Drosophila melanogaster: one gene and its partners. The protein of the gene in region 1 interacts with the protein of each later gene in a pairwise test. Each region holds a gene or a part of one and is shown on either strand. Other genes may lie near its edges. The genes, in order: row, TwdlL, Drep1 and Rhau.

Region 1 (7,588 bases):
GCCAAGTGCTGAGCCATCTTGTTGCCGTTGCCGGTGGCAAAGCCGCAGATGCAGTGCATCTCCTGTGGCATATTCACTTCCATGGCGTCCACAAAGTTTCCATTACATTCCACGCCATGACGGAATTGCGCTCGCTCGCAACATGTCTGATAATTGCACTTAACGCAGTGTAGCCAACCACTGGGAAAAGATTTAATATAAAAAAGTGATTAAATGAGTGCGTAGAGCGCCAAAACCTTTTATTACAAATTATTGCCTCACACATTCTAATGAGTTTTCCCCAAGAGATCAATCAGCCACTATTAAATCAATTAGCTGCTGACTTATAAACCTCAACCCGCGGTTCTGGCTTGTCACAATTGAATCAACCACCATGTGCAAAGTGTTAACCTTATTGGTCGTTATTTTATTACTGGCGCTAACAAACGCTGCTTACAATGTGACATTGTTGAAATCCGTTCTAAGTCTCATCTCTACACGGGAGCCGTGGATAAATACACCAATATTCGTCGGACATAATACGCAAGGAGGCGACCTCAACGACTTGATTATTTGGCTCCATCAAACAATGGGAGTTACTAGCTTGACAATGAATTTATTTCTCCAACCTGAACATATAAGACCCCTTGGTCATTTTAAAATCACTAGATACAATGGCATAGCTTTGTTCTTTTGTCATGATAAACATGATATCATGTGGCTTACTCTGGATAGAAATCTACGAAAACTCCGTCGCATTCGATTGATCATCATTCTGCGTAATCAAAGAAGTGGCTCGCAAGGTGCTATTAAATCAATATTCAACGCCTTATGGCAATATCAATTCCTCAACGTTCTTGTCCTGCAAAGGGATCAGCTTTATTCCTACACTCCGTATCCGGCGATGCGTTTTTTCAAACTCGATATTCATACGGAACCGCTATTTCCACATGCAGCAAGGAATTTCCATGGATATGTAGTATCCACTCCGGCGGAAAATGATATTCCGAGAGTGTTTCATGTGCACGATCCATTAACGAAGAGCAGAAAGGTGCTGGGATACGCATATCGCACATTCGTGGAATATTTGGATCACTATAATGCCTCGCTGCGTTTGACCAATCCAGATGAGAATCTAGACCCAACAACTAGTGTGAATATGAACCACATTGTGCAGTTGATTATAGACGGTCAATTGGAAATCTCTTTGCACCCGTACGTTTTCACACCCCCAACAGCAACCAAGAGTTACCCCTTACTAATATATCCAAACTGCTTGATTGTGCCCATGAGAAATGAGATTCCAAGGCACATGTACCTATTGCGACCATTCCAATTGTACAGCTGGTATATTCTGTTATTCGCAGTTTTCTACATCACTGGAATTCTCTATTGCATAAGCCCGAAACTCAATAAAAGTTCTTGGCCGCAACGCTTGGGATTGAATTTTCTAGATGCGATAAGCAAGATACTTTTTATCAGCCCCCCTATAACAATTTACAGACCAACATGGCGCCATTTGATTATTTTCCTACAACTTTCAGTCCTGGGATTCATGTCCACAAGTTGGTACAACATTGAGTTGGACAGCTTCTTCACAACCATAGTAGTGGGCGAGCAAGTAAATAGCATGGATCAGCTTGTCCACCAGCAGCAAAGGGTGCTCGTCAAGGAGTATGAAATTAACACATTTCTGCGCCATGTTGAACCTCGATTAGTGGAAAAAGTATCTCGGCTTTTGGTGCCTGTAAATGCCAGTGAACAGGTGTCCGCTTTGCTGAGTTTTAATCGCAGCTTCGCGTACCCTTTTACAGAAGAACGTTGGCAGTTTTTTGCCATGCAACAGCAATATGCCTTTAAGCCGATTTTTCGCTTTTCATCTGCTTGCTTGGGATCTCCACATATTGGCTATCCAATGCGCGTTGACAGCCACTTGGAGACATCCCTTAACCATTTCATATTGAAGATTCAGGATACTGGACTGCTGAATCACTGGGTAGTTTCCGACTTTAACGATGCCATGCGTGCTGGATACGTTAGGTTTGTAGATAACGTCCTGGGCTATCAAAGTATCGATGTGGATACTTTGAGACTGGGCTGGTGTGTCTTGGGAATTGGTTGGATACTGTCAGCTCTGGTTTTCTCTTGTGAATACTGGCACCTTTATCCATGGCGATTTATTGCTTAGGTAAATAAAATATTTTTGAACTTACGTGTAATGTGTCTCCTCGCTGGCGAAATCGGTGTTGCACTCGGCACAGGTCTTACCCTCCAGAAAAGCAAAGAATACTGGCCGCTTGTAGGTGGAGAACGGCGGCTGCTCGCGGTGATGGGTGCGAATCTTTGGCGGTGGTATCAACATCGAGTTGTTGAGTAAGAGACGCACCGGTCTATTGGTCTTAGTCATGCTCACATGATGCTGCACTGCGTGCTGCTTTAGATCCCCCTTCTCGAGGAAGGATAGCGAGCATTTCTGGCAGCGCAGCGAGGGATCACGCTTGTTGATGTGCTCGTCCAAATGCATGAAGTAATGTTCTATGCGCAGCTGGTTAACGACGCCAAGCTTTGAGAAGTAGAAAATCTAAAAAGAATCAGTTTTTAATAGAGAGAACTTTACAAGATTACTTTACCATGACAGCTACTTACATCCAAGCAATAGGGGCACTGTAAAAAGTTTTGATGCTTGTGGTCGTCATAAAAATGCCTGACCAAATCGCGGTGCGAAGATGATCGATAGCCGCAGGAGTGACACCAATATGGTAGTTCCAGGGTGCTGTGGACCTTCTGCAAATGAGCCGTCAACAGATGCAGGGAATTGTGACGCTGCTGGCATATTAGGCAGTAGTACGAGGGTGAACCCTCCGTTTTTGTCTCAGTTGGATGCATGATCTGGTTGTGTTTGGCCAAAACCGACTCGGTGGGATGCTTCTCCAAGCAAAAAAGGCACTGGAACTGGTGCTGCTTACCCTCTGGCGAAATATGCGATACTAAATGCGTTTGGAGTTTCTCATTGGAATCGAAGGAGTCGCCGTTCAGGCAGATTGGACACTCCACGGTCTTGGCCAGTTCGTTGTGAACCGTACGGGGTGTGCTATATGGAAAGATCTCGTGGTACTCGTCCGTACCATCACTTATTCCATAGTACAGCTCCTCCAAGCCCCTTAGATCATCCTCTTCTTTCTTAATGACCATTGGAATCTTTTCATCTTTTTCTTTCGGTTTTTTACCAAGGCCTTTAGCTATCAGAGATTTAGACAGTGATTTAGATGACGAGGTCGTTGCTCTGTCTCCTTTTGTCTGGTTGGTACTGCCCGGCGGCCGACCTGGACCCTTTTTAATTGGCAATTGAGGTGGTGGGGTGCCTAATGCATTCGGTGGACGGCCGCGCTTGACTCCAGATGATGCTATATCACGATCCTTTTCCTTCTTGGGAATCTTGTTAGAAACAACGTAGTCAGCATCGTTGATAGCTGCAATTGAAGATGTTAACTTAAAAAGATGTAATCTCAACATACAAACTTAAACATTACATATTTGTCCATTTTTGTTGAATCTGGTGGAATGGGTCCAATCAATTTAATTAGTAAATTCTTTCTTGCGTTTTATCACTCCAAATGAAAAAGGAAATCAAATAAAAACAGTTATTAAATTTCTTGCAAGTTTATTTATGGTTTCTCTAATGGGGTTGTTTTAAAATAATTAGACACGAGAAATGTCAGGAAGTAATGCTTAAATTGTACATATGTGAATATATCAATGATACATTTCACCTATATAGATTATATAAATTCACAATTCACATAACACAATAAGTGGACCTGAGCTCAGCTGTTGGGTTCGATTAACCAAAACTAATCAAACAAAACGAAAACATTTCAGTTTGGAGTGAGAAACGCAGGCACTTAACAGATTATCATAACGCACTATTCTATTCACGGCCTAAATAAAAACTTGCTACAAAAGTACGATAGTACTAACGTTTCTTGAGGCGCTTGGGAGCAGCATTGGCAGGTGTCTCCTTGTAGTTGGCCGGCAAAATACTCCAGTCCTTGAACGGATTGGTTGCCACCTAAACGAAAGAGCTATTAAAGGCTAATCGCTAATAAAAATTTTTCGATTCTGCTTACCTGATACAGACGCTGAGTGATTGTCTCATTGGTGGTTACTCTTGTCTGCTCGGCAATGTGTATTATGATATTGTTGAATGCCTGCAAGGCATATGTACCAAAGGACTCTCGCCATACCAACTCGTCGAGGAATTGTTGAATCATCTGGCGAGATAGCAACGATAGGGTGTTCTGGAACATGCGCGGCACAATCCGTCGCAAATATTCCATTACCGCTGAGTTGTTGTGCTTGGCTGTGTTGTCAGTGGCAGCTGCTTGGACAATATTTTTGAATCCCATGCTGAAGAGGGTGATCTTGTCGACAGTCAAGTCTATACAAATGGTGCTGTCCTTGTGCACCCAGCGCGACAGTGGCTCAAGAATGGCCTGGAATCGCTTTTTGTAGTTACGATCACCATCGGTGATTGGCTCTACAGCCCGCAGTCGGATGGACTTCTCCGCATAATCATAGACGCCCAGAACCTCAACTTTCACTTGTCGCTGGGAGCCATCTTGGGATGTGGTTCCTAGGGAAATAACACCCACCTCCACAAACTTGCCGGGACCGCCCAGCTTCTTGCATTTTTGATGCACTGCCAAAGTGCAAATGGCTCTAAGCCAGGTGTAGATTCCTTTGATATAAACACTGTCCACCTTAACCCACTGCACCACATTTTGAATACTGGTCTGGCAAGCCCAGTGGTAAATTAACTTCAACAGGAATGTGGGTGGGTGCTGAGCTCCTTCGAAAATGGAATTGTTGAACACGGAGACGAAGCGGTAGGGGCAACATTCGCTGATCCACACATAGCCACCAGTGTAGGGAAACTTGGTCACATCCGAATAAATTCCTAAATATAAATACATTAATAAACGAATTCAGTTGATCATATATCTCTTACCCAATTTGAGCTCGTTGTTGCGATGGTTTATGCAATGCTGTTGAGCGCGTAGCAATCCCTCCTGGAGCAGCCACTCGCAGAATTTATTGGGCGTAAGCATGAGCACCAGCTTAACCTTCGAGTCCAGCTTGCTGCGGGTGGCAGCCATGTCTTTGATCTTGAGAAAAGGCTTTGCTAGCACCACCAGAGATGGATATGTCTTTCCTTGCATCTTGTTATCCTTGCCATCCTTGCCGTCTTTGCTATCCTTGCTTTCGTCGGTGCTGCCCACCACCAGACCGCCCACCGAATTAACCTCGGCGGGGCGGTAGTTCTTCGGCGGCGATTCGATGTCCGGTTTGGATTCCTTAAATAGTTTTCCACTGCTCTTAGGTACCGGTGAAGAAGATCCTCCACTAGCAGCGGATGCAGCCTTCTTACTGGATTTCGGGGTGAACGAGGAAGATGCATTGGCCACGGCCACTGCTTTTTTGCCTGCAGACAGCGCCAGTCGCTTGGCCAGCGGCATATCGTCGTCTCCCTCATCGGAGGACTCCAGGTAGGCGATGTTGGATGGTTGTCGTGGTGGGCGGCCACGACCCCGCCCTGTGCCACCGCTTTGGGCGGCGGGTGTTGAGGGAGAGTCCGTCGGCTTGGGTGGTTTTTTGGGCAGCGTAGCCTCCTTGAGCTCCTGCAGCACTTTGCCCTTAAAGGAGTAGGCCTGGAACACCTGGCCGTTAAACAGCTCCTTGCCCTCGTTGGCGCTAACCGCGTTCTTTAGTGCACCCTTCACCGCGTTGTGCTCGTTAGTAATCTTCTCGTAGTACGCCAATTGTGCCGGCGACAGCTCCTCCACCCAGAACTCCATGTCCAGGGAGATTTCACTTCTCGTTACGCGCGTCATCTTACAGCTAACTAGTTAACCGACCACTGGCCCAGCGAGGGCGTTGTTTTTAAAAATATTAAGAGCTAAGTAAATTTTTTTTCGCTCGAATTAGCTTTCCTTGCGTGGATGTACCTGCTCGAGTAAATAACATCGATGAAAACATCGATAATATCGGCTTGGGTATTGTCGTGACACACGCACAGTGGTGCACCACACATCGGTTCGTTAAAATATAAACAAATATAAATCAAATTTTTGTATTTAAAAAAAAGTGTTAACGTAAACTGGTCAATTTTATATTCTGCTAATAAGAACAAGAATAAAATTTTTTTACAATTAAGGAATATCATAACAAGAATTGATTTAACGTATAAATAAATGCCATGAATATATTTTCCCACCTAAATATACATTACAGATATTTTTTACTATGATCAGTATGTTGCGGACTATCGACTACCACAAAAAACGCTGAAAGTCTATCGATGATTTTACAAGATGCTTCATCCCTGAAAGTTGGCGCGCAATTCAAACTAAGAGTGCAAAATATTTCTCAACAGTACACAATCAGCAAATAAAATAAAAATATCTAGTACAGCTTATATTTTATTATATTACACTTAATATAATCCATTGTATTTAGCAGGTGCACTTATAAGGCAAAAAATGTTAGCAGGCTAGTTCGTTTTGCGTTGTTCAGTCACCGTGAAGTGTCACCAAATCAATTTGAATTTATGACCACTCGTATATTATCGGTTCATTAGCTACCAAAAGCCCCCGTTGAAGTGGTGACCAATGGAACTTTTTTTATCACAATGTCACAAAAACGTATGTCGCTTTTTTTTATTTCCAGCGCACATTTATGCATTATTTATGTCGTTAATTACCCGATCATAAAGAATTTCTTTAATATTCAGTCCCCACAGAAAGTCGATATGATTCCACTTTTCTTCCGGCATGCGATATGCGCTTTTCAGGGCGCTCGGGTTCATGGTATACCTAAGGCGATCCACGTCAATCAGACTAGCAAAGTAGTCGTTGTCAGAGTAATAGAGATAGGTGGGCACATCGATGCCCTCCACATCGTACTCCGGCGGGGTCTTGCTGCTGTACTCCTTCTTGTTGCGCGTAGATCCGTAGTCGAATTGCCGGAAGTATCCGGAATTGTACTCCTGCAGGTAGTGGAAGATCTGATTTACTGAGCATCCCGCCGGAGTGGTGGCCATAATATCTGGGAGCAGGGTCTCGTTGATATATGGCGAGTTCCAGCCGCCCAGCAGGAATAGGGTGTTGGTGCACATGAACTGTGAAATGGCCTCATCGCTGCAGAGGAGAGCCCCGAACAGGTTCATTAGCTGTGTATTTGGCAAAAATTCGGCGCTGCCGAAGAGCTCGACGAAGGCATTGGGCTGACCAAGCAGTGGTCCACCGACCGTGGCCAAAGGACTCTCCATATGCTCCATCCAGGCCACAGGAGCGAGCAAATGAGCAGATCGAATGCGACTCTTGAAGCGCGGAATCATAGAGTTGAGCACAAAAAAGGATGTGGTTCCTTGAGAGTGACCCACATACGTAAGTTGAGTCACATTTGTCCAGTAAAGGACGTAATCCATCATAGCGGGCAGATCATAGATTCCGATATCGTGCCACTCAAAATTCCAGAAGGGCTGCAGCAGCGGCGACTTGCTGGCGTGTCTTTTGGAGTAGGTGTTGCCTCTGGCATTACCCATCCACAC
Region 2 (3,546 bases), on another chromosome or scaffold:
CAAAAATAAGGAAAATAAAATTTAACGTTAAAACCCTTCACTTTCATTCGCTTAGCTTAAGATGACAAAACACTATCAAACGATTATTTTGTATGGATTACAGAAAAGTATCAGCAGAACTTTTGATGATGATATCCTTCTATCCAAACACAGCATTTTTCATATTGTTTGATTGCTTGTACGTTCTTCTTCTCCGTTTAAATGAGATTTTAAACTGACTGGACGCAAATATTCTGGCTCTTATATACGGGACTTGTATGGAATTCCCAGACTATTTAAAACAGGTTTGCCCAGAGTTCAAAGCAAGCTTCCGACATTCTTTTTGACTTTGAACCTCAAACTAAAAAGTCACTTCAAATTCTAGACCCACTTTCGATAGCAAAAAAGGCGACAAACAGAAAGCAACAACAAACCATTAACTATCAATGGAGTTCGCATAGATTAAGATTTTATCGTTTCGTAGGCGGAACTCAAAGAATGCATCACATTGTGTTCGACTTTAATGACCATCAGAACATTTTTGGACGGGCTCTGACTTTTTTTTTGGAAACGGGTTTGATAGTTTTGCAGCATTTTCCCCAATCGAATTCCGGGCAGTTTTGCCCCGGTCAAGAATAAATCGCGGCGCCATGAACCGGTCGAGAATTTGGCTTTTGCAATTGGGCAGAAAGTCGGGGGTCGCCGACTGGATGTATTGGCGAGAATTTTAGGATAGTTTGCATAATCATTTCATAAGCGCACCGCTTTGCATAAAAAACTAGTTGAGTTATGTAGCAACCCGACGGGAATGGTGTCGGTTATAGTTCTAAGTCGGTTCTAACTACGCCAGATGGGTATATAAGCTGCTCACCTCAGTCTCAGGATTCAGTCTTGGCCTTTGCCTGTTAAGCACACCCAGCCTACAAAACCAAACCTTCACCATGCGTTTCCTCATCGCTTTCTGCCTGATTGGTGCCGCATGCGCCCAGTACAACTACGGAGCGGGATTTACCGGAGCCGCCTCCGATAATGTTCCCAGTTACTCCGGAAGCAGTGTTGGCGACTCCTACGATGGTGCTGCCAGCAGCCCGGACTACTCGGTCTCCAGCGAACTGAACAAGGAGTACTACACCTTCGAGGCTGACGAGAGCCAGTTCGAGGATCCTCTGGCCGCCCAGAAGATCGCCGGCTCCGTGAACAAGGGACTCCGCGTGGTCTTCATCAAGGGACCCGAAAACCGTGGCCTGGAGAACGCTGCTCTGGCCCTCGCCAAGCAGGCTGCCGAGCAGAGGACCGCCATCTATGTCTTGAACAAGCAGACCGACATTGGAGATCTGGCCCAGAAATTCAATGCCGCCCGCCAGAACTCCAACCAGCGTCCTGAGGTGCACTTCGTCAAGTACAGGACTCCCGAGGATGCGGCCAATGCCCAGCGTGCCATCCAGTCGCAGTACGATAACCTGGGAGGATCCAGCCAGTCCATCAACGGAGGAGTTGCCAACGCCATCAACTTCGCCTCCGCTGCCCCCGTGGTTCCCGCTCGTCGTGGCCCCAACTACTCCCCACCAGCCGCCGCCACGAGCAACTCCTACCTGCCCGCCAACATCCTGCGTCGCCTGCGCATCCGTTAAGGACCGAACGAAAACCGACAGTTGTTAAATGTGTTGTATAAATGTAATTGAATAAAAAACGAAAATCGATAAAAACAAATACGCTTAGATTTATATATCTATTTTTAATCTAGATCTTCGAAGTTTCTGACTTTGTCATCGGCCATTGCAATTTGTTTGTTTTTTAATAGCTTTTCCTTATAATAACATTTATGCAAAGCTGAATTGCTCTGCGAGCCCGAACAAAAGCCGTTCGCTGCCTACTTTGTAGGCGGACAAAACATTTAGCAGCATCAGCGCTTTGTCTTCGAAAAACTGCGCCGCCAGCTTCGAAGTTGGGTTAGTATATATAGTTACCGCCGCCGTGGTCATAGGCAGAAGCAATTTGTGCTCCGAACCAAGAGAACCTCAAACCCAAAACTAAAGATGCGCGCCTTCATCGTAAGTGGTGTAGCCAGGACTTAAGACGAATTCACAACTAACGGATAACCCTTGAATCCTGTAGGTAATGTGCCTGGTGGCAGTCGCCTGCGCCGATAAGCTCGGCTACAACTACCAGCCCGTGGGACACTCCAGCTCCGGACTGTCCTTTGCTCCTGGAAGTGGCAGCATTGGAGGTGGATCCATTGGAGGTGGTTCGATTGGAGGAGGCTCCATTGGAGGAGGATCCATTGGAGGAGGCCTCATTGGTGGTGGCTCTATCGGAGGCGGTTCCATTGGAGGTGGTTCCCTTGGTGGTTCCATCGGTGGTGGCTCTATTGATTCCGGTCTTGGCGGTCTTGGTGGACTCGGTGGTCTAGGAGGTGGCGACGCTCTGGCCGCTCCAGTCTCCTACAACGCCCCCGCTCCCGCTGCTGAGCTCCAGAAGGAGTTCTTCACCTACTCCGCCAACGAGCAGGACTTCGATGAGCCACAAGAACTGGAGCGTGTTGCTGGATCCGTAAACAAGGGACTGCGCGTTGTCTTCATCAAGGGACCCGAGAACCGTGGTCTGGAGAACGCTGCCCTAGCCCTCGCCAAGCAGGCTGCCCAGCAGGAGACCGCCATCTATGTCCTGAACAAGCAGGCCGATATTGGAGATCTTGCCCAGAAACTGAACGCCATCCGCAACAACAATAACAACAAGCCCGAGGTGCACTTCGTCAAGTACCGCACTCCCGAGGATGCTGCCAACGCCCAGCGCGCCATCCAGTCGCAGTACGACCAATTGGGAGGATCCTCTCAGGCCCACAACGGTGGTGTGGCACCCGCCCTGAACTTCGCCTCCGCTGGTCCCGTCCAGAAGGCTAATGCTCAGATCCCTGAGAACGCTTACCTGCCCACTTCCATCTTCCGTCGTCGTTTGTAAATATTTTAACGACTTCGAGATGAAGGCGTTGACTGTTCTTGTTAAATCTTATTGTTGAAATCTATTGATAAATAATATACAAAAATCTGAATACAAACATTCTATGATATTTTATATTGGATGGTGGTGTAGTAAACAATAGTGTATACCTTCCGATGACAACATGAGTGGAGTTACAAGTTGGGCTTTTAGAAAATTATTTCAGTCTTTGGTGAGATTTTTCGACCTGTTTTTATTGCACAAAAAGTTTGGTAATGACTTTTAATTTGAATTTATTCTTAAAAAGGTGCAACGCTATTAACTTAATACAAAGCAAAAGACCTTTAAAACTCATTAAGAATTTGGTAAGCTATATTACCCAAGGCAGCTTCCCGATGACCTTGACGTTTAATATTTGTCATAACCAAAATATTATCCTACGAAGTACTGGGAAAAGAATAAAATAAAATATTTCCGCATATTTTAAATGTAGGCAAAATGTTTTTACGACAAAAAAGTTAAATTAAATATAAACATATCGTTTTCACCACTCTCAAGTTAAATTTTTTATTTCATTAGTAATATATGCGAAAATAAAGAATCAATGAACTGGGGGCGGCATTTCAAACA
Region 3 (7,954 bases), 3.2 Mb from region 1:
AAACGAATGGTGTGTGAACTCTGGCAAGGGCAAAAATCCTACGCATTCATTAAGTTTCCATGACCGCGAGCTGCAAATGTCAAAATGAAGAGGTTCAAACGAAGTCAGCGAAAGAAAGTCCTCTTGAATTTTAACGAGGTCCTTTTGCATATCAGCTTTCTGTTCGTTAACAGGCAGACGCAAGCTGTTACTGAAAAGGACTGAGCCGTGTTAAATCGCTTATGTTATCCTTTTTTTTTATTGCGCAAAGGATAATTAGTTGTGTCTGCCCTTTTGGCCGAATTTAAAACGTCTGTGTCTGGACAAAAGATTAAGTTGTTAAGATGAAATGTTTTTTGTTATTCTGTTTCTTTGTTTGCTCTTTGTCCTTATAATCCTCTATCTTATGTGTATTTTGTTTTTTGGCTCAGTTAAACTAAACATTCTCGAGCGGCTTGATGCTTCTTAGTAAAACCAATATCGCCAGGCGTTGATTTATTGTTTTCCCTCGATATTGCCTATTGCCTGATTGCCCGTGAGGCAATTACCTGTCACCTGGCTTCGAGGTGGAGCTCAACCCAGATTCCGGCCGATGTGTCAACGTGTCCGTGGTCAATGCACCGCGGTGCATGCACGTGACCTGCGAACTGCAGGCGACACAGCCACCCACACAAGCCAATGTCCTTGTGCGTCCTTTCGAGTGACCTGCGCTTAAAATAGTCACAGCTACCACCCACTGCTGCTTCTCCTCCGCAGGACACGTAGAAGTTACTATGTGCAGTGCAATGACAGCAAACGGGGCAAACTGCCAGCAGCAGAAGCAGCATCAGCATCCGAGGAACCAATGGTGCGCACTAGGATGACAATTTAAGGCTGCCCCATCTCTGATCTCCCCCATACTTGCATGCCCACCTCTTTTCCGGGCTATTCAGTACCGTTTTATACGTGGAAAAACTTTTGAGAATTATATAAAGTTAGTTGATATTCGTATGACTAAAAGAAAACTACTCATTCCTATTTATACCTACATACCTTTATCCTTTATGGAATCCATTTGCTCAATTAGGCGCTGATAAGTATGCAATAAGTTATAGTTTTTATTAGTTTTTAGTATCATAACAGAATCTTTATTTTTCGCCGTGCACAAACTGATGAGAACCCAATCTGGGGCCACCTTCCGGCTTTGGCTTTCCTTTCATGTATTTTGGCCATTTGTCAAAAGTTTGCTTTTTGCTCTTCTTATCTGGACGGTTCGTTGATGTGTGCATGGCAATAGATGTATATAGATTTAAATGGGTGTTGGCCACTTGTGTAGAAAGTTAAGCGTAGTCCAACTGCTCTTTTGGCCGGGTTCCAAGCGGGCGAGGGGATTTCGAATTGACAACACCGGATATCATTGGGCTGATAATGCGCAACCCCTCCCAATGGACTAATTGAATCCGAAAGCACCTTCCGATGGAAATAGAGATTAGATTGCTGGAATCACCTTAACTTTTCAGCCAGGATTGTTCCAGCAAACTCTTTGTGTTTTCTAGGGACTAGGCCACAGCCAAATGTTAACATATTCAGCGAGAGAGAACGTGTTTTTGACTATGTTTGTTTTCTCTTTGTAAGCTTTATGTTTCAATATATTTAAAATTCTAATCTGTTTAGTGTTTTCTTTTAGAAGCACATTATTACCTATTTTACAAAAAATTGATACAATATTAATTAATTAAATAACCAAAATCTACAGGGAATAATTTATAAAAAAAAAAATATAAAAAAAAAAAGTGTTAGGCTTCAAAAATATGTTTACTTATCATGATTAAAAAGAAACATGGCCAATAGGACATAAAACAAATATTATTTGAACCTATCAGTTAACATTCATTTAAAAGCGAGCACTCGCAGTTCGAACTCAACATCTGTTAGAAGCCCTTTCTCTGCGTATAAAAGGCAGTGCTTTTGAGCAAAACGCGCTCATTTCAAAACCGGTGCTCATCGCAACGAAAGCTCCGCTGCGGAGCCGAGAAAATATTGTTAATTCCCATTTGAAGTGCAGCTTGTGGAAGGAAATTCCAAGTTTGTTTGTTCGGACGCCGAGTGCAAGTGCAAGAAGCAAGCGAAAAGTAATCAAATCTATAGAAAAGTCATTTAATGTGGAGCAATTAAGCCTGGAAATAAAGTGCATAGTGAATAAGTAATTTAGTTGGAGCAAACAAAGCCATGGAGACTGCAGCGAACTCGGGCGACTCCAAAAAGCCTTTCAAAGTGAGTTCCCCCTGTAATTGTAAATGGAAATAAAGGCCGCAGACGAACAATTGCATTTTAAGTGCATGCATTATTTTCCTGGCATGTCCATTTTTGGGCGTTGTTGTTTTCGCCTTTGTTGTTGTTGGCCGCGTGCTGCGTTCGCTACTTTTTTTCCTTTTTTTTTGGATTCTTATGGAAACTGGGTTGAACTTCAGAACTCAAGAGAGCCAAAAGCTCAAGCTAAGAGAGTGCCGAAAGCTCAGTAATAAGCATTAACTGCCTGAAATTTGACTTTGCAAATTCAAAAACACTATTTAGTTGCTTTCTTTCTCTTTGTCCTTTTTTTTACATGTTTGTCTAGCTTTGCATTTGCCTTTTGATTCGAGTATTGGGAATTGTTTGCCTTTAGCATTTGTTTTACTTGACTGCTGGGCCATTGTTTCCTGTTTAATTTGTTTATCTGCCGCTTAAACAGCAGAAAGCTGTTTAAAGTATTATGGGGATGTAAAAAACGTGCTTAAGGTTGCAGAAAACCACTGGAAGTACATGCAGCTGACAACTCAAAGGAAACCAATAAACCACAAAGCTATTTAAATTGTCTGTGAAACACAGAAAACAACTTTCGTAAAACATGACTGGAGATAACATCCAGGAATTCCCTCCCCCACTTTATCCATTAAAATGCCGCTCCTTATTAAAATATTTAATTCAAAAACCACCAAACGCAAATCGGCTTAAAAGCTGTCAAATACCATGACAGCCATGAAAATGCCATTAAAAAGGGAAAACTTTTCATCCCGACATGTCGCTGTAATTAGCCAACAGCCACGCCCACGACCCGCCTCAGGCATTTTGTTAATAATTTATTAAACAATCTACATAATGCCGCGGCATAGTTCAAAAGCAATTTAAAGTTGTCGCCTAATTTCCCCAGCGACTCGAAAATCTGCGGCCTACGCCCATCAAATATTAAAATGTCCTGCGACTTGTGGATTCTGCCCGCATCTTGGATGCAGATGATAGAGTTCCTGGCACGTCTCCTTCGGCTGCTCCTAAAACGGAGCCAGACGCCGGAGGTCGTTGCACGTTCATCTACGTACGTATGTGTGGACCAGGACCCTCGGGTCCTGATGGCTGAGCAGCTCGAGTTAGTTGAGATTTATAAGCCCTCAACTCGCTGCTGCTCTACCAATTTGCCCAAGTCGTTTTGCATACACTTTTGTGTATAAACTGGTCTTCTAGAAAAACACTTAACTGATTTCATCTAGACTTTCACATACATTAGCCTGAACTTGTAGTGATGCTAGTTTGGAAATTTGTATCTTAAACAGTAGCAAGTAGGTAACATTTGTGTTTGCTCATTTCAATATTTAAATATTATTCTTATATTTAAATATTAAAAAATAAAGTTTTACTTACCACGATGTGCCAAAAATTTGCTCTTAATGATATAACCTAATAGCATTTCCATTCAAGAAACAACTTGAAACACTTTTGAAACATGTTTACTTTCCGAATAAATCTTGTTTCTGATTTGTATAAGCTTTGTATAATTTTGCGGGTAATTAGATAAACTGCTAATTGAATTGCGACCGCTTGAAAAATCGACGCCACTTGAAAAATCAACTAATGCGATCGACTAAAACTTTTGACAAGTTTCCGAACAAAAACTATGCTTTTGTTTTCGATGCTGCCGCGACTCCCACTTGTCAAATGCGCCAGTAGTTGGGCAAAGTTTTCATTGTTACAAAGTTCTAGCCCCACACGCCGCATTCATGATATGATTAATATTTGGAGCTTTCGCGGCACAAAAGTTATGTGGCTTTAAGTATTTATAAGATAATTTAGGGACGACCTCCTCCGCTATCTGAGCAAATGGAATTGGGATGATAGAGCAGCTAGGCGCACGAGTAAAATGAAATGTTCGAAATGCAAACTCGAGTACAATTTCATTTAGTCACGGTGCTCTCAAATATTCATGAAGGACCTCAAGGAGTTGCACGCTGTCCGACGTTTCGGGGCTATAAATTCTGGGTGGAATGCATTCGTGCCGCTTGCTCCCTTAAAGTTGCGCCTCCTTGAGCCTCCATCTGGACGGGTCTAATTTATGTTTCGTTTAACCTTAGTGCTGAGGCATCATTTAACATCGCATGCAAGTTTAATAGAGCCAAAGGCTTGCGTCCTTCGTCCTTGCAACCGGCGAACAGCACTAACCTATGGCATTCGCGAAGGAGCATGCAGCATGAAGAATGCTGACATGCATAACTTGTCAAATAAAAAGAAAATTTAAAAGGATACGCCAGGGAATCGGGGAGTGGGAGATAAACGACAAATATTTGCACCGCAGCTGCTAGAGTGCATGTCAAACTGCGTTCGAGATCTCGAGCAAAAGTAGAGGAGCTCATGGAACTCGGCATTCGCAACTGAAATATGCACAAAGTCGTCGGGCTGTGGGAGGCACTTTAAGGTGGTGACATCCCCCACCGGGAAAAAGCCGTCCATAAATCTCAATTAGAGCAAATGGACATTTGACAGCAGGACATGACGTGGTCGCAAATATTGCGTTCATTTATTCATTGCGATTTTTCGGGGAATGGAAAACAATCAGCGTCGAAATGTGGTTGTGTATTTATTATTTAGCAACTTGCGCTACTATTTATCTTTTCTCTTTGTTTAATGGAATTTTCAAAGATTGCCTAATTAAATAACTATAAAAACAGGGTAAAGTTTGCGTTGAAAAGAGAAACAGACTGAATAATTAAGTGCAAGCGGGAGGATAATGAATAAATCAGGCGGAAAGTTTCCATAGTTTCTCCATTCCGTTCACGTTGTTGTCTCAAGAAAAAGGGTGCAGCTAAAGGAAAATTTACAACTTTTCCCATTTCGATGTTTTTCCGTTTTCTTATTTTGGGTGCCGACGATGTGAATATTTTATAGGACCTCAGTTGTTTCCCATCTGACATTAATTTATTATTCATTTGATGAGCGGGGCCATGTGTAACTGCTACTGTCTCCGTAATTGCAAACGTGTAATGGTTTATTATTCCCTTTTCCCGGCACTGTCCTTCTGCGTTTTTATGGCCAGGTCAAGGACGTAACACGCAACATTAAGAAGGCTGTCTGCGCCTCCAGTCTGGAGGAGATCCGCAGCAAGGTGGCGGAGAAGTTCGAGAAGTGCGACCACCTGCCCACCATCCACCTGGACTCCGACGGCACGGAGATCGATGATGAGGAGTACTTTCGCACCCTCGACGAGAATACGGAACTGGTGGCCGTCTTTCCCGGAGAACATTGGATCGATGTGAGTAGCCCTTAAATAAAAGGAAAAGGAAAACAGGCACTTAAAAATAATTATATCAGCACCTTTTTTATTTAAATCACCTCAATAAATTCGTTTTGCGATTGTGTAATTTTCATTTCTCAAAGTGAACACCGCTTAATTGGATAGCTCATTTTATGTGTCCCTCCTTTTATCTGCCATAATGACTAATTGCATTATTTCTTGAATGCCATGAAAGAGCTCCATGAGCATGGGACCAAAGCCAGGAAGATTAAATTAAATGCTATCTGCACTCTGTTTATAGCCCACTCACTACGTGACGATAACCACTCCACATGGCAACGAGGCAGGAACTGGAAACGGAGAGCTGAACGGAGGAGGCGAGGGCGACACCACCGATGCCAACAACTCGGAGTCGGCTCGCATCCGCCAGTTGGTGGGCCAGCTGCAGAACAACCTCTGCAACGTGTCCGTGATGAACGATGCCGATCTGGACTCACTCTCCAACATGGATCCCAACTCGTTGGTGGACATCACGGGAAAGGAGTTTATGGAGCAGCTCAAGGATGCGGGAAGGTGAGTTTAATTCCTTTCCCATATACCACTTAATTGTAGCATGATTTCATGACTTTAGGCCATTGTGTGCCAAGCGGAATGCCGAGGATCGTTTAAATCTGCTGAAGCTATTGAAAGCTGGTGCCATTTTCTGCTCGGAACGTTATCCCGAGGATGCGGAGGCCATTGACCGGGAGATTGGACGGCAGTTGAACGAGGCGGAGAGTGGACAGATGAGCACCACAACGACGAGCAACACCCGCACCATCGAGGTGGTGCAGTGCGACAATCAAAACACGACGATAACAATTACGGTGGGCGAGGCCACCACCACTTGCGCCACAGCCAGTGGAGCGATGGGATCCTCCGCTGCCGAAGCGGCTGCCAATGAGGCCAATGCCAATCCAAATAGAAATCCAAATGCCAACGGCGACATCTGACTGCCCATTTTGGGCAGTCTTAGGTAAAGTCTGCCGGCGGAAAACTAACGCAACTGGGTGCGCCAATCAAAATCAAGAGCCAAAAGGATATACCGAAGACATCAGTCCTGCAACATTGGGTTAACATAAATCGTATTTGTAGCATGTAATTAGGCACTGCGAAATCAGCAAAAACGAAACGGAGACGAAATCAAGTCATTGAAAATGCTTCATAGTATCTAAGAGCAAATGAAAGTTAACGAACAATACACGTACTAGATTTAAACACCGGGTCACGAGGCTCAAGAGAACAAGAGGCCCGCGCAGATTTGAAAAGTCTTTTAGCAATCACAGTCAGCGGAATCGTATTTAACCGCATATACACGAGTCACACCAAGCCGTACTAGATGAATAATAATCAAAGGTTAGCGAAATAAGTATTATACTTGAGGTAGAATCCCACAACCAGAGCGAACCCCAATTGGATGGAGTTGTCCCAGGAAACTGTTGATTTGCTTACCGTGTAAATTGTGTTACGAATAGTAGGTAGAGTGGAAACGCACATCAAATATTGTTTTTAGACCAATGCCATTGTGAATGTCATTCGTTAAAGGCCAATTGAGACTGACTGAATTTATGTGTAATAGGTTTTTTCGTGGTTTGAGCGGTTCGGGAAAGATCGGATGGAAGCCTCCAGCGCTGCTGCCCTGTCCTCCCAGAATCCCCGTCTTCCCGCCCCCGAATCCATAGCCAAATGAATTTAAGCGACAGCGCAAACATTGTTAGCTAATTAAACAATAATGGAACACAATAACGCAAATTGCAATTGCCCAATCAAAGTTGGTAACTGTAACTGTCTACAATTCGAATAAGCAATAAGGGAAACCGTAAACGTAAACGAAATCTAAAACCGAATGCAAACAGTGAACAATTATTAAATATAGTGAAAAGCATACAGTAAATGCAAGTGAAAACCCCGAGGCAAACTATATACACGAAACCAAGTAATAAATAAATGATTATTAAACTAAAGTTGATTGAACTAGCATAACTGGCAAACGGGGCGTATGCGCAACGCACAAAGCGTGTGCAACAGGGCGTATGGACTGCATCCTGCTCTTCCGCTGGCAAAAGAGAGTTTCCCCTTCCTTCACCGCTTCTTCCATTTCCCTTTTTTCCAGTTCGAGAGAGCAAGAGAGTGGGAGTCCTACACCTGCTGCTGCCATATAATTGCATTACTCGACGCCATTCTCTTTTGCCATTCAACTTCCTTCGTGACGTCACTGCACCATGACGTTTGCAGGTCCTGGCTAGCTGATTGCGATGGCCTACTAACACAGTTCAAAGCTCCCGGGTGACCCAAATTCGTGACGACAGCGCCCCACAGCAAGGGTCTCTTTGTGGGCGTGGCCCTGGCTTTGATGAATTGAATCCAGCGTCCTGTGGCCTTTGCATACTCAATATCCCCTACTAACACAGCACATCC
Region 4 (5,574 bases), on another chromosome or scaffold:
GACCAGGCTGAGAGGCTGGCCGTTAGCGTTTGAACATTTGAATTGCCTTGTATTGAAGGATGCGTTGGGAACAAGCTTTGGCTTTTTGCGTTAGCTTGTCCAACGCATCTAATGAATCACTAATGAAATCGGAATCGCAGCAGCTGAGCAGCAGAGGTAGAAAACAGAAAATCCAATAAAAAGGCAAACGAGCAACAGGTTTTGCGGATGGTTCTGGCTCGCTACACGGAAAACAAAGTACTTAAACTGTAAGATTTGATTAGGAAATGAAATAAACGTTCGTTATTAGTGCTCTTAAATTGAGTAAAATTTACATTTTAAGCTAAGAGAGCTATAAAGTGCTGCGTTTCAATATTTGGCATGCAAGGATAAATTTAATAGATATATAGATATAGATATATATGTGCCCTGGTATTTTCTGCAGTGTGGCGAACGGGCGTGCCAACTGGCGGCAAATCATTCACAGTGCTCGGCTAGAGAAATCAAATTTAATATATGACTCCGCAAAAGGCCAATTGTGAATGGAGTGTTGTGTGTGTGTGTGTGTGTGGGCAGAGGAGTGTGCGAGGGAGGGGGCGAGGAGGTGGGTAGTGGAGAGTGGAGCGACAAGTTCAAGCAGGGCAACAATTTCTTTTCAGGTCGCCAGTACACATAAGCATCTGCGGAGGAAATGCTTTCAACAAGATTTCTTTTGCCAAAGAATTTACTGCAATTGCCTCTTTCTCTATTTTGTTTACATGCACTGCATCTCTTTCCCTCCCCTCCACAACATCACAACACAACCCTCCGCGACCAACACTCCTTCCACAGAACGATCTACATATGTCTTTCTCGCTCCCGCTCTGGCATTAGTTGTGTGCTGCAACTGCGAAAATGTAAACAAGTATAAAACCGTCTAATAACCGCTGGAATTCCAAGAAACGAAACGAGAATTGGTAAGAATGCGCTCACCTTCGTTTTGATATCTGTGTCGCCTGCTCACTTTTGATTTTTTTCGGTGGTTTACGTCATAAGACCAGAAAAATAATGGCTTGCCACTCTCACACAAATAGAGCCACACTCGCACACGCACACAAACTCGCGATCAAACGGCTTTTGTTGTGGTTGTTGTTTTTGGACTATGTCTTTTTGTTTGTTTTATTGCGCGACGCTCTGTACAAAAAACAAGCTGACAAGCTGTGCACACCGTTCCCTCCGAACACTTTTTCTTGCAGTGTGGTACTCCTTACTTATTTAGTTGTTGCTCTTGCTTTCCACTTTCGGCCACTTGTTGCTCCTTTGCCGGGAATGACACATGGAACACACTCCGCTAGCGGGCTTTTGTGCAACGCAAACACTGTTCTGCCTAGTTATTGGACACTTGGCATGCAGATCGCTGGCTCTTCACGGCCGTTAATTGCGAAAAAACAAATTCTAAGCACAAGCGGTTCGATTTACTCAGCGCGTTGAGTTGATCGAAATTAGTGTGACCGCAGCGGGATCGCTCAATCAAACCGCTTCATTTTCAAGGGTTATGGAAATATACTTTTGGGATTTAGCCTGTATTCGAACCAAACAATAAGCAGCAAGCCGGTGTTTTTCACTTATTTTTAAAACTTTGTTTATGATTTTCATTTTATTTTGCTTCGTGTTCTAAATGCAACCAATTTTGTTTGAATAAAATATTTATATTTGAAAATTAATTATTAAAGTAACACAATAGGTGTATATAATTAAGTTGGCAGTCCTAGTCTATCTGATTTGCGCATTTTGACAGTCCGACAGCACTATGAATTTTGTTGACTTCGGGTTGGGAATTCTTCTTCTGAATTCTTTTATATAAATTGGACAGGATGCAGCGCGATAGGGACTCATCCGGCTCCAACGCCCGCAAGGGCAACCGCCCACCGGGTCTCAGGGGCAAGGACATCGGTTTGTACTATCGCAATCTTGCCCGGCAGCAAAAGAAGGACAGAGGCGAGAATGCGGAATCAAAGGAGCCGCAAATCCGCTTGGGCTGCAATGTCAGTGCTCCCAGTGGAGTGCTTGAGCGTGTGAAGGAGTTAATGGAGGACTACAGCCGGGCACCGTCCAGACAAAATGTGGATGACAAAAATGTGGATGCCAAATTTCAGCAACAGTTTCGCCATCTTTTGAGTGTAAACTTTGAGGAATTCGTTGCGGAGACCAAGGAACGGAACGCGGACTTAGACTGGGTAAACCCCAAGCTGGACGAGAGACTGCAGCTGGAACTGGGGCAACGCCAGTTGGAGGAGAATGCCAAGAAACGGCTAGAAGCACGGAAAAAACTGCCCACCATGAAATACGCCGACGATATTATCCAGGCTGTGCGGGAAAACCAAGTAATACTCATTGTAGGAAGCACTGGATGTGGCAAGACCACTCAGGTGCCTCAAATCCTCCTCGACGACGCCATTTCCCGCGGATGTGCCTCGTCGTGCCGCATCATTTGCACTCAGCCACGAAGGATTTCAGCCATCGCCATTGCCGAGTGGGTGAGTTACGAGCGCTGCGAGAGCCTGGGCAATTCGGTAGGCTACCAGATTCGCCTAGAGAGCAGGAAGGCCAGGGAGAGAGCCTCCATCACTTACTGCACCACAGGCGTTCTACTGCAGCAGCTTCAATCGGACCCACTGATGCACAATCTAAGTGTCTTAATCCTGGATGAGATCCACGAACGCAGCGTGGAAACAGATCTCCTAATGGGTCTTCTAAAGGTTATCCTGCCCCACAGACCCGATCTAAAGGTGATCCTGATGAGTGCAACTGTACGGGAGCAGGATTTTTGTGACTACTTTAACAACTGTCCCATGTTCCGCATCGAGGGCGTGATGTTTCCCGTGAAGATGCTCTACTTGGAGGATGTTCTGTCCAAGACGAACTACGAGTTCCAAAAGTTCCGCGATCGTCGTCCCAAGCGGGATCCGCCTGAGCGCAGGATGAAGCACGAGGCTATGATAGAACCGTATCTGCGACGCATCAGGAACTCGTACGATAGTCGTGTGCTCGACAAGCTGCGTTTGCCGGAGTCGGAGGGCTGCGAGGATATTGATTTTATAGCCGATTTGGTTTACTACATATGCGAAAACGAACCAGAGGGTGCCATATTAGTGTTCCTGCCTGGTTATGATAAGATCTCCCAACTGTACAATATTCTGGATAAACCAAAGACTTCGAAGGGCCAAAGGTGGCGGGATCATATGGCCGTATTTCCATTACATTCCCTAATGCAGTCAGGGGAACAGCAGGCAGTGTTCAGGCGACCACCGGCGGGCCAGCGTAAGGTTATAATCTCTACAATTATCGCCGAAACGTCGGTGACTATTGACGACGTGGTTTATGTGATAAACTCTGGCCGGACGAAAGCCACCAACTATGACATCGAAACGAACATACAGTCGCTGGATGAGGTTTGGGTGACCAAAGCAAATACCCAGCAGCGGAGAGGCAGGGCAGGTCGAGTGCGGCCGGGCATATGCTATAATCTGTTCTCCCGCGCTAGAGAGGATCGCATGGACGATATTCCGACGCCGGAGATACTACGCTCCAAGCTGGAATCCATAATTTTAAGCCTCAAGCTACTGCACATCGACGATCCGTATCGGTTCCTGCAAACTCTTATTAATGCCCCCAATCCCGAGGCCATAAAGATGGGAGTGGAACTGCTAAAGCGGTGGGTTTAATAGTTTGGCCCCTTCGTTTCACACTTATAATTTAACCCGCTTATTGAACAGCATTGAGGCGTTGGACCAGACGGGCACCCTTACTCCACTGGGCATGCACTTGGCAAAGCTGCCCATTGATCCGCAGATGGGAAAAATGATCCTGATGTCGGCGCTCTTCTGTTGCTTGGATCCCATCACTTCGGCGGCGGCTGCCTTGTCCTTTAAGTCCCCCTTCTACTCGCCTTTGGGTAAAGAGAGCCGAGTGGATGAAATCAAGCGGAGAATGGCCCGAAATATGCGGAGCGATCACCTGATGGTGCACAATACCATTATTGCGTACCGCGATAGCCGCTATTCGCACGCGGAACGAGACTTCTGCTATAAGAATTTCCTCAGCTCCATGACACTGCAGCAGTTGGAGAGGATGAAGAATCAGTTCAGTGAGCTGCTCTACAACTACAAGTAGGTTCGTTTTATGACTGCCTTGTGTAAACTAAGCTACTTACCTTATTTCAGATTTCTGGCATCGTCAAACTGCAAGGATGCTGCATCCAATAAGAATTCTGAGAAGATTCCCCTACTGAGGGCCATTATAGGAGCGGGACTCTATCCCAACATGGCTCACTTGCGGTAGACACCACCTATTAACAATAGAGGCAATAACTAATACACAATTTAATGCAGAAAATCACGGCAGATCAAGAATAGAGTACGCGCTATCCACACCATGGCAACGGACGATGGACGCCGCGTTAACTTTCATCCCTCCTCGGTGAACAGCGGAGAGAGTGGCTTCGACTCGGCATACTTTGTCTACTTTCAGCGGCAGAAGTCCACCGATCTTTTCCTGCTCGACTCCACAATGGTTTTTCCCATGGCACTGATCATTTTCGGAGATGGCGTGGAAGCGGGAGTGACCCAAAATACGCCATATCTGTGCGTGGCCAAGACATATTAGTGGGTATAACATATCTTCCTTCAATAGGATAAACTTAACTTATTTCATACTTAGCTTTAAATGCAATCGTGAAACTGCCGACGTAGTCATACAATTAAGAAGCAATTTGGAGAAACTGCTGCTCAAAAAGGCTTTGTATCCGGCCCCGATCGAGGAGAACGGATATGAAAAGCAGTTGATCAAGTTAGTCTTAACCCACGTTTCACTTAACAACAATAATTACGTTTTTATTTCCGCACAGAGCCATCGAATTGCTTCTCTCGCTAGACGAAAGACTCGGCGAGGACTATATTTCATCCGATGAAATCGATGACATATAATCTGCCTCCATAGCTTGGTGTTGTAGTTTATTGTTAGCAAAACATTGTATAGCGTAATAATAAATTATAGGTGTAAACTAGTGATGCAATAACAAAATCAGTAAATGCAACTTTTAATCGTCCTCCAGCAGAGCAAACACGTTCCGAGACCTGGGTGCGTCTTCCCTGATGCCACATTCCTCCTCATCAGCATTGGTCTCGTCATTGGAGCTGTCCTCGTCTTCATCCTCGCTGTCGGCAGCTTAAAATGATGGGTTTATTTAAAATTAGTTTAGTTTTTAGTTTTCAAATTTGTTAGCTACTCACTATCCGAGCAGACGGATGATGTGTCGCCGTTGGTCTCGCTCTCCGGCTCATCTAATTCGACTTGCTGGTACTTCTTGACCTCCCCCACATCGGGATGTTGGAGCCAGTGCTCACGTCGCTCCTCAAATCCGGGCGGATAAAACTGCAATACCAACATCTGTTGGCCGGCCAGGCACATGCGAAGGATATGATTCGCGGCCCGGTAGCGATCCGGCCTGGCTGCCTTGGCGGTGAGGAATCCCCTCTTATATGCCCAAGCATCGGAGATGGCCACCGCAGACCACTCATCGTAATCCTCGGGCAGGTGGAGACGCAGAAGCTGTGG

What was found.
Region 2: the proteins of row (region 1) and TwdlL interact in a two-hybrid assay, tested with the Drosophila melanogaster proteins (one large-scale study listed by BioGRID).
Region 3: the proteins of row (region 1) and Drep1 interact in a two-hybrid assay, tested with the Drosophila melanogaster proteins (one large-scale study listed by BioGRID).
Region 4: the proteins of row (region 1) and Rhau interact in a two-hybrid assay, tested with the Drosophila melanogaster proteins (one large-scale study listed by BioGRID).

The regions. Positions count from the first base shown.
Region 1 is NT_033778.4:15,207,620-15,215,207, forward strand, and holds the start of row (relative of woc), read right to left. Parts: upstream 6,016-7,588; 5' UTR 5,871-6,015; coding exon 4,988-5,870; intron 4,937-4,987; coding exon 4,107-4,936; intron 4,049-4,106; coding exon 3,958-4,048; coding exon of another isoform or gene 3,953-3,957; exon of another isoform or gene 3,626-3,952; intron 3,450-3,625; coding exon 2,626-3,449; intron 2,561-2,625; coding exon 2,193-2,560; intron 2,168-2,192; coding exon of another isoform or gene 374-2,167; intron 181-373; coding exon 1-180. Other genes in the region: Ir51b (ionotropic receptor 51b), read left to right, coding at 374-2,167; CG8093 (uncharacterized protein), read right to left, coding at 6,713-7,588.
Region 2 is NT_033777.3:26,624,072-26,627,617, reverse strand, and holds TwdlL (TweedleL), read left to right. Parts: upstream 1-1,965; 5' UTR 1,966-2,015; coding exon 2,016-2,030; exon of another isoform or gene 2,031-2,094; coding exon 2,095-2,937; 3' UTR 2,938-3,031; downstream 3,032-3,546. Other genes in the region: TwdlO (TweedleO), read left to right, coding at 921-1,610.
Region 3 is NT_033778.4:12,042,677-12,050,630, forward strand, and holds Drep1 (DNA fragmentation factor-related protein 1), read left to right. Parts: upstream 1-1,935; 5' UTR 1,936-2,187; coding exon 2,188-2,232; intron 2,233-5,299; coding exon 5,300-5,515; intron 5,516-5,798; coding exon 5,799-6,070; intron 6,071-6,128; coding exon 6,129-6,489; coding exon of another isoform or gene 6,490-6,516; 3' UTR 6,517-7,496; downstream 7,497-7,954.
Region 4 is NT_033779.5:20,754,041-20,759,614, reverse strand, and holds Rhau (RHAU helicase), read left to right. Parts: upstream 1-1,629; 5' UTR 1,630-1,832; coding exon 1,833-3,673; intron 3,674-3,734; coding exon 3,735-4,127; intron 4,128-4,181; coding exon 4,182-4,295; intron 4,296-4,349; coding exon 4,350-4,622; intron 4,623-4,677; coding exon 4,678-4,806; intron 4,807-4,864; coding exon 4,865-4,943; 3' UTR 4,944-5,036; downstream 5,037-5,574. Other genes in the region: Ns4 (nucleostemin 4), read right to left, coding at 5,057-5,184, 5,250-5,574.